Linked DNA regions of Caenorhabditis elegans. The protein of the gene in region 2 purifies or fractionates together with the protein of the main gene of each other region. This does not show direct contact. Each region holds a gene or a part of one and is shown on either strand. Other genes may lie near its edges.

Region 1 (5,245 bases), on a different chromosome or scaffold from region 2:
AAACTTGAAACTTGGATGAATAATGCTTCTCTAAACTATGAACTCAAAACTTCTTTATCTGATTTCCCTTATTCAATTCTTTCAAACACTTATTACCAGCATAACCATCTGTGCCATTTTAATTTATTGTTCGATCAACGGGACTGAAGATGAAGAGGCCGCCAATATTGAAATGTGTCAAGTGCACTCTCCCTATTCATCTTTTTCTATTCTCATTTTCAGTTTTCTAAACCGACGGAAATCCAAAATGAACTGAGGATATGGATAATCAAAAGAGGAGTTGACTTTTTACAGTAATTTGAAATCCCTCACTAGTTTCTTTTTGTTCATATTCAGGTTTTTGCAAAGTGGAAAATTAGAGGCTCTATATTTGATCTTTCCATACAAAAATTCCCAGACACAAGCGCCATGTTCAAACGACCAATTTGTTCTACGCGCCGTCACCACCCGGTGGCCTCATCCATCCATCGACTCGGACGGCTCGAAACCGTGTGTAAACATATCGTGCACCGGAGGGCAACCCAAAACACTCTTCTCACCGTCGTCAAAACACGGTGTGTTCTCTTTGCCTGTTGGGATAGATGGTGGTGAGCTGGTGATCCGAAGGGGGAGAAGAACACACTTCAAGAGAGAGTGAAAGGATCATTTGTAAATAACACGTTTTTGTGCATTGTTTCGATGCTTCGAACATGTCTGTGCTCCGTAATTAGAAAAACTGCGATTTATTAGATTATTGTTTCGGAGAAAATCAAGAAACATTGCAAACATTTCTATCAGATTTTTCCTAATTATCTCAGAAAACAGCTTCCAGTGTCTCACAAATCACCTGGTCAATGCTTATCCATTCTAATATCACTTCCTGCCAGTCCTCGCGCAATCAGTGATACCAAAACAATCCGACTTTCCAATGTCTCTAAACTGCCAACCATATTCACACTGAAGATGTGGAAGGATGTGACACCGTCCGAAAATGGCGACAAAAACTTGTTAACGCTTAAGACATACACACACCATCACTACCGTCAAGCCGTGATGTCCACACTCATACACACACACACCGTTGCCATTGCCATCCTTTTCCTGCCATTATGCTACAAATAAACGTACACGTTCGCCCCATATCTTCTTTGTCGTCCGCTTCTCTTTCTCTCTCACTCTTACGTCAAAATATGGCGTAATCACCATCGACCGATCGTACTTTTCAATGCCAAAGATGCGCAGAGATAACGGCGAAAAAGATGAAGCTGAAGCTGAGATTCAGGTAGAAGACATATGGAGAGAGATCGAATAGATGGAAATTTCGAGATTAAAATTTTACAATTTAATTAGGAATCCAACAAACTCAAGATTCAACCTGAATATTTTATAATCACAATTGCTCGTAACAATTTTATTTCAGTCACGCTTGTCAAAGCTAAAAAACCGCCAATCTAAGTGAACTGTCTATAGATAAGTGAAAACAGAACATGTTTACGATAGCAATCTGGAAAAAAACTATCGGAGAAAAGAAACAGAAGGAAGAGAAGATTAAGCTTTATGAATATTGTGGTGAGATAGTAGTAAAATTTGTCTCAAGTGAATACAACTTTCACTAGCTGAATCCTATTGAACTTTGGGAATGAACACGTACTTACCATGAAAATTGAATGGAAAACATTGGGACTCAGACATTGTTCGATAGGGGAAGCTTGAAGATTTTGGAAATGAAGAAGACATTTTCAAAAAGTGTGGTGAAACATCTTCTTCAGAATTATTCGAGATCGAACTCGGCGATGTTGTAGATGCTTCCGAGATACTTGCCATAGAGAGATCATTGGTTATCAGTGTGAGAGCACTGTCTACCGGTTTCATAAATGATGCATTTGACGGTTGTTGATACTCGTACCAAGAAGTGTGGTGATTGGAATATGATGGTTGATGATAAGCCTGATAATGGTATGCATCCGATATGGTTCGTTGGCAAGTTTGATGAGTATTGTATCCGTAAGCTGGTGATAATCCAGATGAAATCTCATGTTTTCTTGATTGAAGTATAGTAATTGGGAAGCTTCGAGTGTGTCCCAAATGTTGTTTTTGACGGGATTCATCATGTGTCAGAAATTCATAATTAAGATCATCATCTACAACCATCACACCACTTCCTAAAGCAGCCATTTCAACATAATCATAAACATGCGGTGGCTCTGGTGGTCTATACTTCTGATCCTTGATTCCATTTCGATTATGCGACGATGGATTATTGAATGCTGTATGTTTATGAGCTTGTTGAAAATTTGCATCTATCGGAGCTGATAGATTTTCGCTCTCCTCACAATTTCGACGTCCTTGTCGTTTTTGTAGCAGCTCAGCCCATCTTCTGGCTCGTCTCACAAATCTTTTTCCACTGGAGTTTCTTCTCGATGGCGATTCGCCGTCTCCACTGTCGGCCATATTTCAGAGGGAACTTCAGTACATTTTCGAATAGTAAGTTTGGATGGCCAGAGTTGGTGCACGTTTAAAGGATGAAAAAAGAGAAATGGAGTAAGAAAAGGGAAAGCAGGTGGAATATATGATGTAAAAAGAAAAGGACGTTGGTGAAAGGCAGAATGGGGGAATACTCTCAAAATGGGAAGCTAGTCAGGGCGGAGCCTTGTTCCCGTTTAAAACTCATGCAATGTGCTTCTGCCGCCGGCTGCTGCAGAGACACAAACACACGAAGGGGAGGGCGTATACAACGAGGGAAGACACTTTTCCGAAATGGGCGGAGACTGTTCGATCCTTCCTCGCAACGACGAACGGCAGAGAAAGAAGAAGCCGTGTAGAAAAAAACGAGGCGAATATGAGGAGGACTCGGGGGACGTAAGAAGAACAGATGATCATAAGCGAAGAGCTAAATAGTGCTAGAGACGATGAGTCGCAGACGAGCGTCGAACTAAAAACCGTGTATACGTATGGCGGTGGTGGTCACTGCGCCACCATTGCTGCGTCTCTATGGTTTATCTCTCACACTCGTGTGCCGCTTCTTTTTTAGAACGTTTTCATGTACACTGGATGAATGGCTGGACACACCGGCACATTAAACATGATATGTCGAGATTTGCGTGGAGGTTTTAAGAGATAAGTGTTCTTCGGAATGAAAAAATGAATTACTTACTATTAGAGTAAGTTATTTCATTTTAATGAAAATTAGTTTCGTTCTTCTAATTTTCAGGTAACACTTTTTTCTCTTGGAAATATGAGCCATTTCGTTGGTAGTGTCACAAAAATCATATAGTACTGCATAATAAATTATTACGAGCCTATTACAATTTTGTTTCCTACTGGTTTTCGTACTATATGATATTGTGAACCTATTTTTTAAATATACGAAACCAGTTAAAAACTTGTCTGCATTATTTTTCAACACCATTTTCTCGGTTTACACTGTTACTTTTTCTACTGATTCGATTACGATTATGAACACGAACACCCTTCAAGTATTGGTATGGCAATGCTTTTTTCATGACCACTTTCACAACTTGAAAGAAGAAACATGCCCCGAAAGAGAAAGTAGTTTGTGGCATGGGAAATCAAACTAACACGGATAATAGTGATAACGAACATCCTCTCTGTCTAATCAAGTGAGGGAATTGTGAATAAACTATAAGAAATGCAGAATTATCTACTATTACGTCATTCGGGGGATACAAGTGAAAGTTGAGATGTGTCAGACATTCAGGAGGGAAAAGCACGTCAATTCAAATCATATATTCTAGGTCGACGTCGGGAATCTTTGATGAACGATGCATCTTGTTTTTATGCTCCAAACACTAGACCGAACGCTTATTTTTTGACAGCAAAAAGTAAAAAAGTAAACTTACTAGTCAGGTGATCGAGTAGAAATTGCAATATCTTTTGCGCACCGTTGGTCTCGTGATAGATCTTGCTGATTTCCGGCGACAAAGGATTTCCTTGCAGACCGAGCGTCTGAATCCGGAAAAGCTTTCCCAGCTCATAGGGCAGCACACGGAGTTGATTATTGTTCAGGTACAGATGACAAAGACTGATCATATCACCAAGTTCTGTGGGAAGTGAGCGGAGCTTGTTGTTCGATATGTCGAGCATTGTCAGATTTGTCAACTGAAAAATGGGTTTTTGGTATGAAATTGGATTTTTCAAGAAGATTTTAGATGAAGAATAAAAGAATATAATATTTATTATGCTGATTTGTTTTTTGGTAATCTTTTTTTTTGCAATTCTACAAAATGTCCTACTGCCCCATGTTCTCCAACAATTTTTATTTGAAATTAGTGTCAAAATATTTAAAAAAAAAAATTTTTTTCTGAAAAAAAAAATTTCTGCTGGAACATTCAGGAAATTAATCAAAATGGTCGTATCGATTCATCGAATTTTTTTCCGGTAATTTGCCACTTTCAGGTAATTCTTGAGCATTTTCATAAATGTTTCAGGTGAAATAAATATTATTTTCAGATAAACTGAATGATTTTCTATCTTTTGACACTAATTTTGAATGAAAAATGTTGGAGCATCAAAGTTTAGATCATTTTGTAGAATCGATGAAAATAAGTGCCACCGCCGGAGATAATTTCCACACTAATCGGATACCTGAGCAATCTCCGGTGGTAACCGTGTCAGTCCATTGTTGTTAAGAAAAAGAGCTGAAAGATGTGTCAACTGCCACAGTGACGGTGATAGATTCTTCACACGACCTGGAAATATCTCGAATAAAAATTGAAACAATTTTCAAAAATGATTACCGTGTATTTCAAGTTCTGTCCACCGTGTTGATCTCCCACTGGCAATTTCGTCTTCAGTTAACACTCGATGTACTCGACTCATTCCATTGGTTAACGTCTTTTTTCCATCGTTGTTTTCAGACTTTGTGAGTGGCTGGCCAGCTCCTCCGCCTTGTTTGTCCTTGTACTCCGATGTCATATCTCCTGATGACATTACATCACTGAAATTAAAATATTTTATTTAAAACATTCTCCAATGAATTTTTTTAGATTAAAAATACTAAAACTGACCCAAAACAACCTTTTATTGCATATTTTCGTCGCGTATATCGCGTTAATTCGTAGATTTTGGCACATTTCAAATCGATAATTGAATGCCTATCGACTTTAAATGTGCTTAATCGAATTAACACACTATAAGAAAATATGCAATAAAAGGGGAGAAAAACTAGATTCCTGCTGCTGCGACAAGGACAGGGCGACGAAATTTTAGATTTTAGCAAAAAATGGCTCTTTTTTTTTTAATTTTT
Region 2 (5,964 bases):
CGCGGCACGCAGTTTTGCAACTTCACCGCACAGTTTTATTTTACGAGTTTTTAGCATTTTTTCCAGCAAAATTTGATTATTTGCCAGATTTCCTGATAAAATTAACGCGAAATTGTAGAAAAGCAGTTAAAATACAACCGTGCGGCAGTGTTGCGAATTCTAAGGGTTTATTTCGAGTAATAAATCTGAAAAACCTCTTGCTGGAGAAGCTTGGCGGCCTTTTCAGGCTTCAAATCCTCATGGATTTGATCCAAATCCTTTCCGGGACGTTTACGTGTCTTGTTCGAAATCGTGTGCTTCCTCTGTCCACCGCTCGGCATTTTTTGCTGAAATACTACTTTTGTTAAGCTTTGAATCTAGACAAAACAGCTGAAAAAGATAATTTCAGGCTCAAAAACCCTTATTTTAGTTGAAAATTTAAAGTTTCCGCGAGTAGATTTCGAAAATTTTTATTTTTTTGGGCATAGGGGAGGGAAAATGAAAATAAAAAGATACACGGGGCGCCCGATCTCGCCCAGCTTCTACTGCTGCTGAAAATTACAAATAAAAAAGATCGAACTTTCAGAGTAATGATCACCTATAAACAACTAAGCGTATAGTCATCAAGTATAGGGAGATATAATAACAAAGACAAATTATAGGGCGCGTGAAAACACAAAAAACTTGGGTGAGAGATGGGGAAGGGCACGAAACAGACAGCTAATTTACAATAACAGTGTAGACGGTTTTTGGTGGAAAAAGGAAGAAAAAAATAAAAGAAATAGACACATGAAAAATGACGGGAAAGAGATCTGTTCAGGCTTGTTGTGGAACTCCGATTAGGCCTTGTGGTGTCTCATCGCCTAGTCGAGAAGTTGATCCGGAGCTATGGAACAGCGAAAGCGAAGATCCAAGACCAAACATATGTCCACAGATCAATGGAGCAATCTGGTTCCAGTTGTCTCCGAAAAACTGCTTTTTGATCTTGAAAAACGTGGCGGCGGTCAGCAGTGCGTCGGATCCAGCTTGATGGCGAACTCCTTGTCGTTTCACGTCCAGCTGATCGGCGACCTCTTGAAGTCCTCCTTTCAGCTTTGCAGACGCGCAATTTGGAGTTCGGAGCAGGATTTTGATGTCGAAGCTGGTTGGGAAGAGAGTTTTGTGGCACATGAAGAACGTTGACTCTTCCTTAGGCAGATCTCCAAGTGTGATGCTTTTCAACAAATATCCAAAGTCGTAGCCGGAAGAGAACGTGAGCCATGTGATCCGTGGATCAGTGATGAGGCCTGACGTCGTCAAAAGTTCTCCGAATACTGCTGTCGGTATTCCATTGTTCTGGAAGAAAGAAATTATTATTAAAATATTGGAAAATCAATATTAAAAAAACCTGCAGCAATGTGAAGTCTATTCCGGCTTGCCGGAGCATTTCGACACTCTCATGCGAGAACATGTCTTCAGCGAAGGAGAAATTGAAATTGAACTGCCAAACATCGCCAGTCGGTGGTAGCTCTCCTTTGTCATTGACCATTGCAAAGCCCACTTGTATTAATTTCAGCATATTCACATTACAGAACACTTGCTGATAATTGAAATCTTCCTTGCTTCGAAATGTGCCCAACGGTGTCGCCACAACTCCGGGAAATTCTGTGTCCATTGCCACGTAGGGATAATCCTGAAAAAAAACCGATTTTTTAAAAATATTCAAACGATCGGCTGTACCTCGACGAATCCTCGAATCCTCGCGAATTCCTCCTCCACGTTTGACATATATACGTTGTGAATCTTGACTTCTGGTGCTCCACTTGCTCCACCTGCTCCACCTGCTCCACCACTGCTACTAGAAGCCATTTTTATGATATCTGGAACTAGAATTTTCGTTTTAGAGTGAACGCTTTTATTTTCGATTTTTTTAAACGAATTTATGGGACAGAAATCGAAAATAGCTTATAAAATAAATAAAATAATTTTTCCGCAAACTTTTAAAGCAGAAAAACGGGAGAAAAAGTCAGTTTGCAAAAGTTTTGAAGCGCAAAAGAAGTTCTTGAACGATCGATTTTGGATCGGCATTAAAGGCGCATGGAGTTTCCCAGCGGTGTGGGTCTCGCAGCGAACGGGAGAGAACTGCAAACTGGCTAGCTGCCAAGTGAGTTTGTTTTACGTGAAACTGTCGAGAAAACATCGTTTTAGTGAATTAAAATGTGTTTTTAATGAATTTTTCACTTATTTTCTTGATTTTTACCCTAAAAACATGAATTTTGTGCGTTAAAATGATGCAAATTCGAGTAAAATACGTATAGAATGCCTATTTTACTCATTTTACAAGATAATTCTTCAAAACACGAATTTAATTACTTTTTTGCAGGTAATAATGCTGAAGATCGCCGTCGCCCTTTGCCTTGTCGCTTCCGCTCTTTGTAAGTTGGAAAAATTAATAAATTCCCACACAAATTATTCAAATGTGTGGCTTGTATAAAAATAAGGCTCGATTTTTCGAATTTTAAGCGTAGATTGTTAACATTTAATACAAATAAAACAATAAATATTCCAGGCGCCAAGTGCGAGTCGCCAAAGTACTCGGCCTCGTCATTCTCCACTACCGACGGATTCTTCCACTACAAAACCACCTTCATCACCGAGTTCACACTTCAATGCAGCAACAACCCGAAGAATATCCAATACACTGCTGAAGTAAACGGTCGCCTTATCCCAGTCTCGATTTCCGACGAGACCGCCAAGTTCCAAGTCTCATGGACTCTTGAGCACAAGGACGCCGGAGCTCAAACCTTTAATATTAACATTTTCGACGAGGAGGGAGCCGCTCAATACGCCAAGAACCCTGTCACCAAGCCACTCTTCACCGTTCAACAAAGCCATGGGGTGAGAATTGCATCATTTTCACATAATTATCTTTAAAAATCATTTTTTGCAGGGTCTCGCCACGAAGTCTCCAATCTCTTCCGAGACTGTCGCCGTCATCATCGTCGTCATTGGCCTTTACTACGCCATTCGTCAAAAGACCGAACTTGTCCACTAAATATCATTGTTTTTATCCCCAAATTACTGGTCAACGCACGTTTGCGTGCTGGGTTTTTGTTCTTTTTGTTTTTATTTATATATACAAAATGTAATTTATTGATTTTTGCCCCTTTTTCCACCCCATTCGTGTATTTATAAGTTCAGTAGCCCCCAAATAGCCATAAATTGAAATTTAATTGCTAGACTGACGTAAAAAAAAGTTTAAAGAGTTGAGAGTGTAAATCCCCGGGAAACTTACTTTAGATAATTTTAAGACCCCCTTTAGGCCAAAATTTTCATTCAGGCAAAATGCTTTTGGCTCGATCCATAATCCGATGCTCGCGGAGCATCTGTTGTGCTCAATTCCAGACCCCATCAAGCTCACGATTCCTGCACACAAGTCGACAACTCCACGAGAAAGAGCCCACTCCGAAGAAGCCAGACGATCAAAAATGGAAAATGTTCAGAATGACAATGTCTGAGGAGCAAAAACTCGCAAAAACGGCGAAAATCGAGCAAATGAAGGCGGAAGAAGCGCCGAAAACGTTGTTCGCAAAAGTGAAATATTATTTTAAAAGATATTGGTATATCGCTGTGCCGGCTCACGCGGCATCGTGTACAGCATGGTTTATCGCATTGTATTTGGTGGTTAAAAGTGGAGTTGATGTGATTTCATTGCTCGAATGGCTTCATATGCCGGATGCTATCGTTGAAAAGGTCAAAAATACGCCCGAAACCGCCGGAGTTGTGGTGGTTTCGCTGATTTTGTACAAGGTTCGGAGGATTTTCAGATGTTTTTTCGAAAACTTTAATTAAATAACAATTTGTTTGGAAAAAACACAGATTTTCTCGGAAGAAACCCAATTTTTTTGTATAAAAAGCACGATTTTTTAGACAAAAACCATGTTTTGTAAAGAAATCAATTTTATTGAAAAAACTAATTTTTTAAAGAAAAAAGGAACAAAAAGGGAAGCCCTGGTTATTACACAGACGCGAAATTCTTCAATGTTAAAAAGGTGTGCGCCTTTAAAGAGTACTGTAGTTTCAAACTTTGTGGAGTTTCATCGATTTTTTAATATTTCTCACGAAGAACAAAGAAAATTACAACAAGTAAAACTACAGTAATCTTTAAAGGCGCACATCTTTTTTACATTGAAGAAAAAATGTTATCGTGTCGAGACCAATTACAGTATTTTTGTATATGTAATACTACAAAAGACGTGGAAATGTTGCCAAAAAATTACGAATTTTAGCAGAATTTAACCAGAAAAATAATTTTTTTTTCCAAAAAAATGTATTTTTTCGCGTATGTGTAATAATAAAAATTTAAATTTTCAGATCGCAATGCCATTCCGCTACATGACGACACTTTTGCTCATTCAAGCCACTTTCTGGACTCTCCGAAGATTGGGAAAACTGAAGACCGCTCGAGAAGTCGAGTACAAGGTCCGAAGTGAATATGAGCTGAATAAGGCACATTACGGACGACGCTGGTATCGGTGAGCATTTTTTTTAGGGGAAAAATCCATTTTTTGACAAAAAAAACACATTTTTGTGGCTAAATTCTTCTAAAATTCCCAATTTTGGCAAAATTTCCATGTCGAATTTCACCGATTTTATGCCAATTTTGGTCGAAATAGAGCCTTAATAATCCTAAAAACGCGTAAAAATGACCAAAATCGAGCCCTAAAGCAGCATCGCACAGAAAAAGAGGCGGAGCGTAATTTCGCAACCCTGCGGCACGGTTTTTTCCTCATTTTTAAAAAAAGGTTTTTTTTTTCAATAAAATTTCGATTTTACTAGTTTTATTCACATTTTTCGAAAAAAGTGAATAAAACTAGTGAAATCGAAATTTTATTGGAAAAGATCAATTTTTCAAAAAGGAGGAAAAAATCGTGCCGCAGGGTTGCAAAAATACGCTCCGCATCTTTTTCTGTGCGGCGCTGCTTTAAAGCTCGATTTTGGTAGTTTTTACGCGTTTTTAAGCCTATATAGGCTCTATTTTGATCGAAATTGGCACAAAAATCAGTAAAATTCAAGGAAAAAGTGACAGAAATTGAAGATTTTGGCTAAAAATCCAATTTTTCGGGCTATTTTTCACTGAAAAACCCCCAAAATTTTCCATATTTTCCAGCTATCGCCACCTTGGAGTTCGAAGTGTGAGCCGTAAGAACAGTGTTCACGCGACAACTGCTCATATTGGACAAGTTCAACGATTACAGAAGGAGCATGAGAAGCTCAATGAGCCGACGACGACGAAACTCCATGATAATAATAATAATAAAAAGAAGGATGATTAATCTAATTAGATATTATTTTTCAGTGTTTTTTAGACTGTTTTTTCTTCTGTTAGGGTGCTTCCGAGTGTGTATAAATTGATTTTTCCCCCCGAAAAATTTGGCTTTAACTTTTTATTCATAAATCTGGTCATTTTCCCTAATTATTATTGCCAAAAAACACTAGAAAATTAATTTTCAATTGATTTCCTTGTTATACAGCCGCATGCTGAGCACAGTTTTTCGGCGAACAATGGCGACTGGACGGCATTTTGTAAGATTTTCGGGGGTTTTTTTTCCAGAAATTTCTGGGTCTCGACACGACAAATTAGAAAAAAAATTTTTTTTTTAATCGAGTTGTTTTGAAAAAAACTATGAAAAATCGATTTAAAAAATTCCGAAAGTTTGAAGCTACAGTACCACTCTTTAAAGGCGCATTATTAAAAAAACATGTAGCAAAAATTTTCGTGGTGAGACCTGCAGGTAATTTGCCGCTTTTGAACATTTCCGGCAAATTGGCAAATTGCTGGAAATTAAAATTTCTGGCAAATCAGCAAACCGGCAATTTGGCGGCAATGAAAATTTCTGGCAAATTCACAAATTGCCGGAACTAAAAAATTCCGGCAAATTGGCAAGTTGCCGCTTTTGAACATTTCCGGCAAATCGACAAACCGGCAATTTGTCGAAAATGAAA

The links.
Region 1: the proteins of ccf-1 (region 2) and ccr-4 purify together in Caenorhabditis elegans (affinity purification with western blotting, with the first as the bait; one study listed by BioGRID). This does not show direct contact.

Annotation. Positions count from the first base shown.
Region 1 is NC_003282.8:12,362,730-12,367,974, reverse strand, and holds the start of ccr-4 (poly(A)-specific ribonuclease), read right to left. Parts: upstream 2,702-5,245; 5' UTR 2,431-2,701; coding exon 1,635-2,430; intron 1-1,634.
Region 2 is NC_003281.10:11,918,394-11,924,357, forward strand, and holds ccf-1 (CCR4-NOT transcription complex subunit 7), read right to left. Parts: upstream 1,845-5,964; 5' UTR 1,828-1,844; coding exon 1,699-1,827; intron 1,652-1,698; coding exon 1,367-1,651; intron 1,315-1,366; coding exon 796-1,314; 3' UTR 435-795; downstream 1-434. Other genes in the region: znf-593 (Zinc finger protein 593 homolog), read right to left, coding at 195-320; trap-4 (Translocon-associated protein subunit delta), read left to right, coding at 2,348-2,393, 2,528-2,856, 2,909-3,013; Y56A3A.22 (DUF1279 domain-containing protein), read left to right, coding at 3,304-3,768, 4,333-4,493, 5,129-5,294; nft-1 (Nitrilase homolog), read left to right, coding at 5,497-5,544. UniProt on the Caenorhabditis elegans protein: Catalytic component of the CCR4-NOT complex which is one of the major cellular mRNA deadenylases and is linked to various cellular processes including bulk mRNA degradation, miRNA-mediated repression, translational repression during translational initiation and general transcription regulation.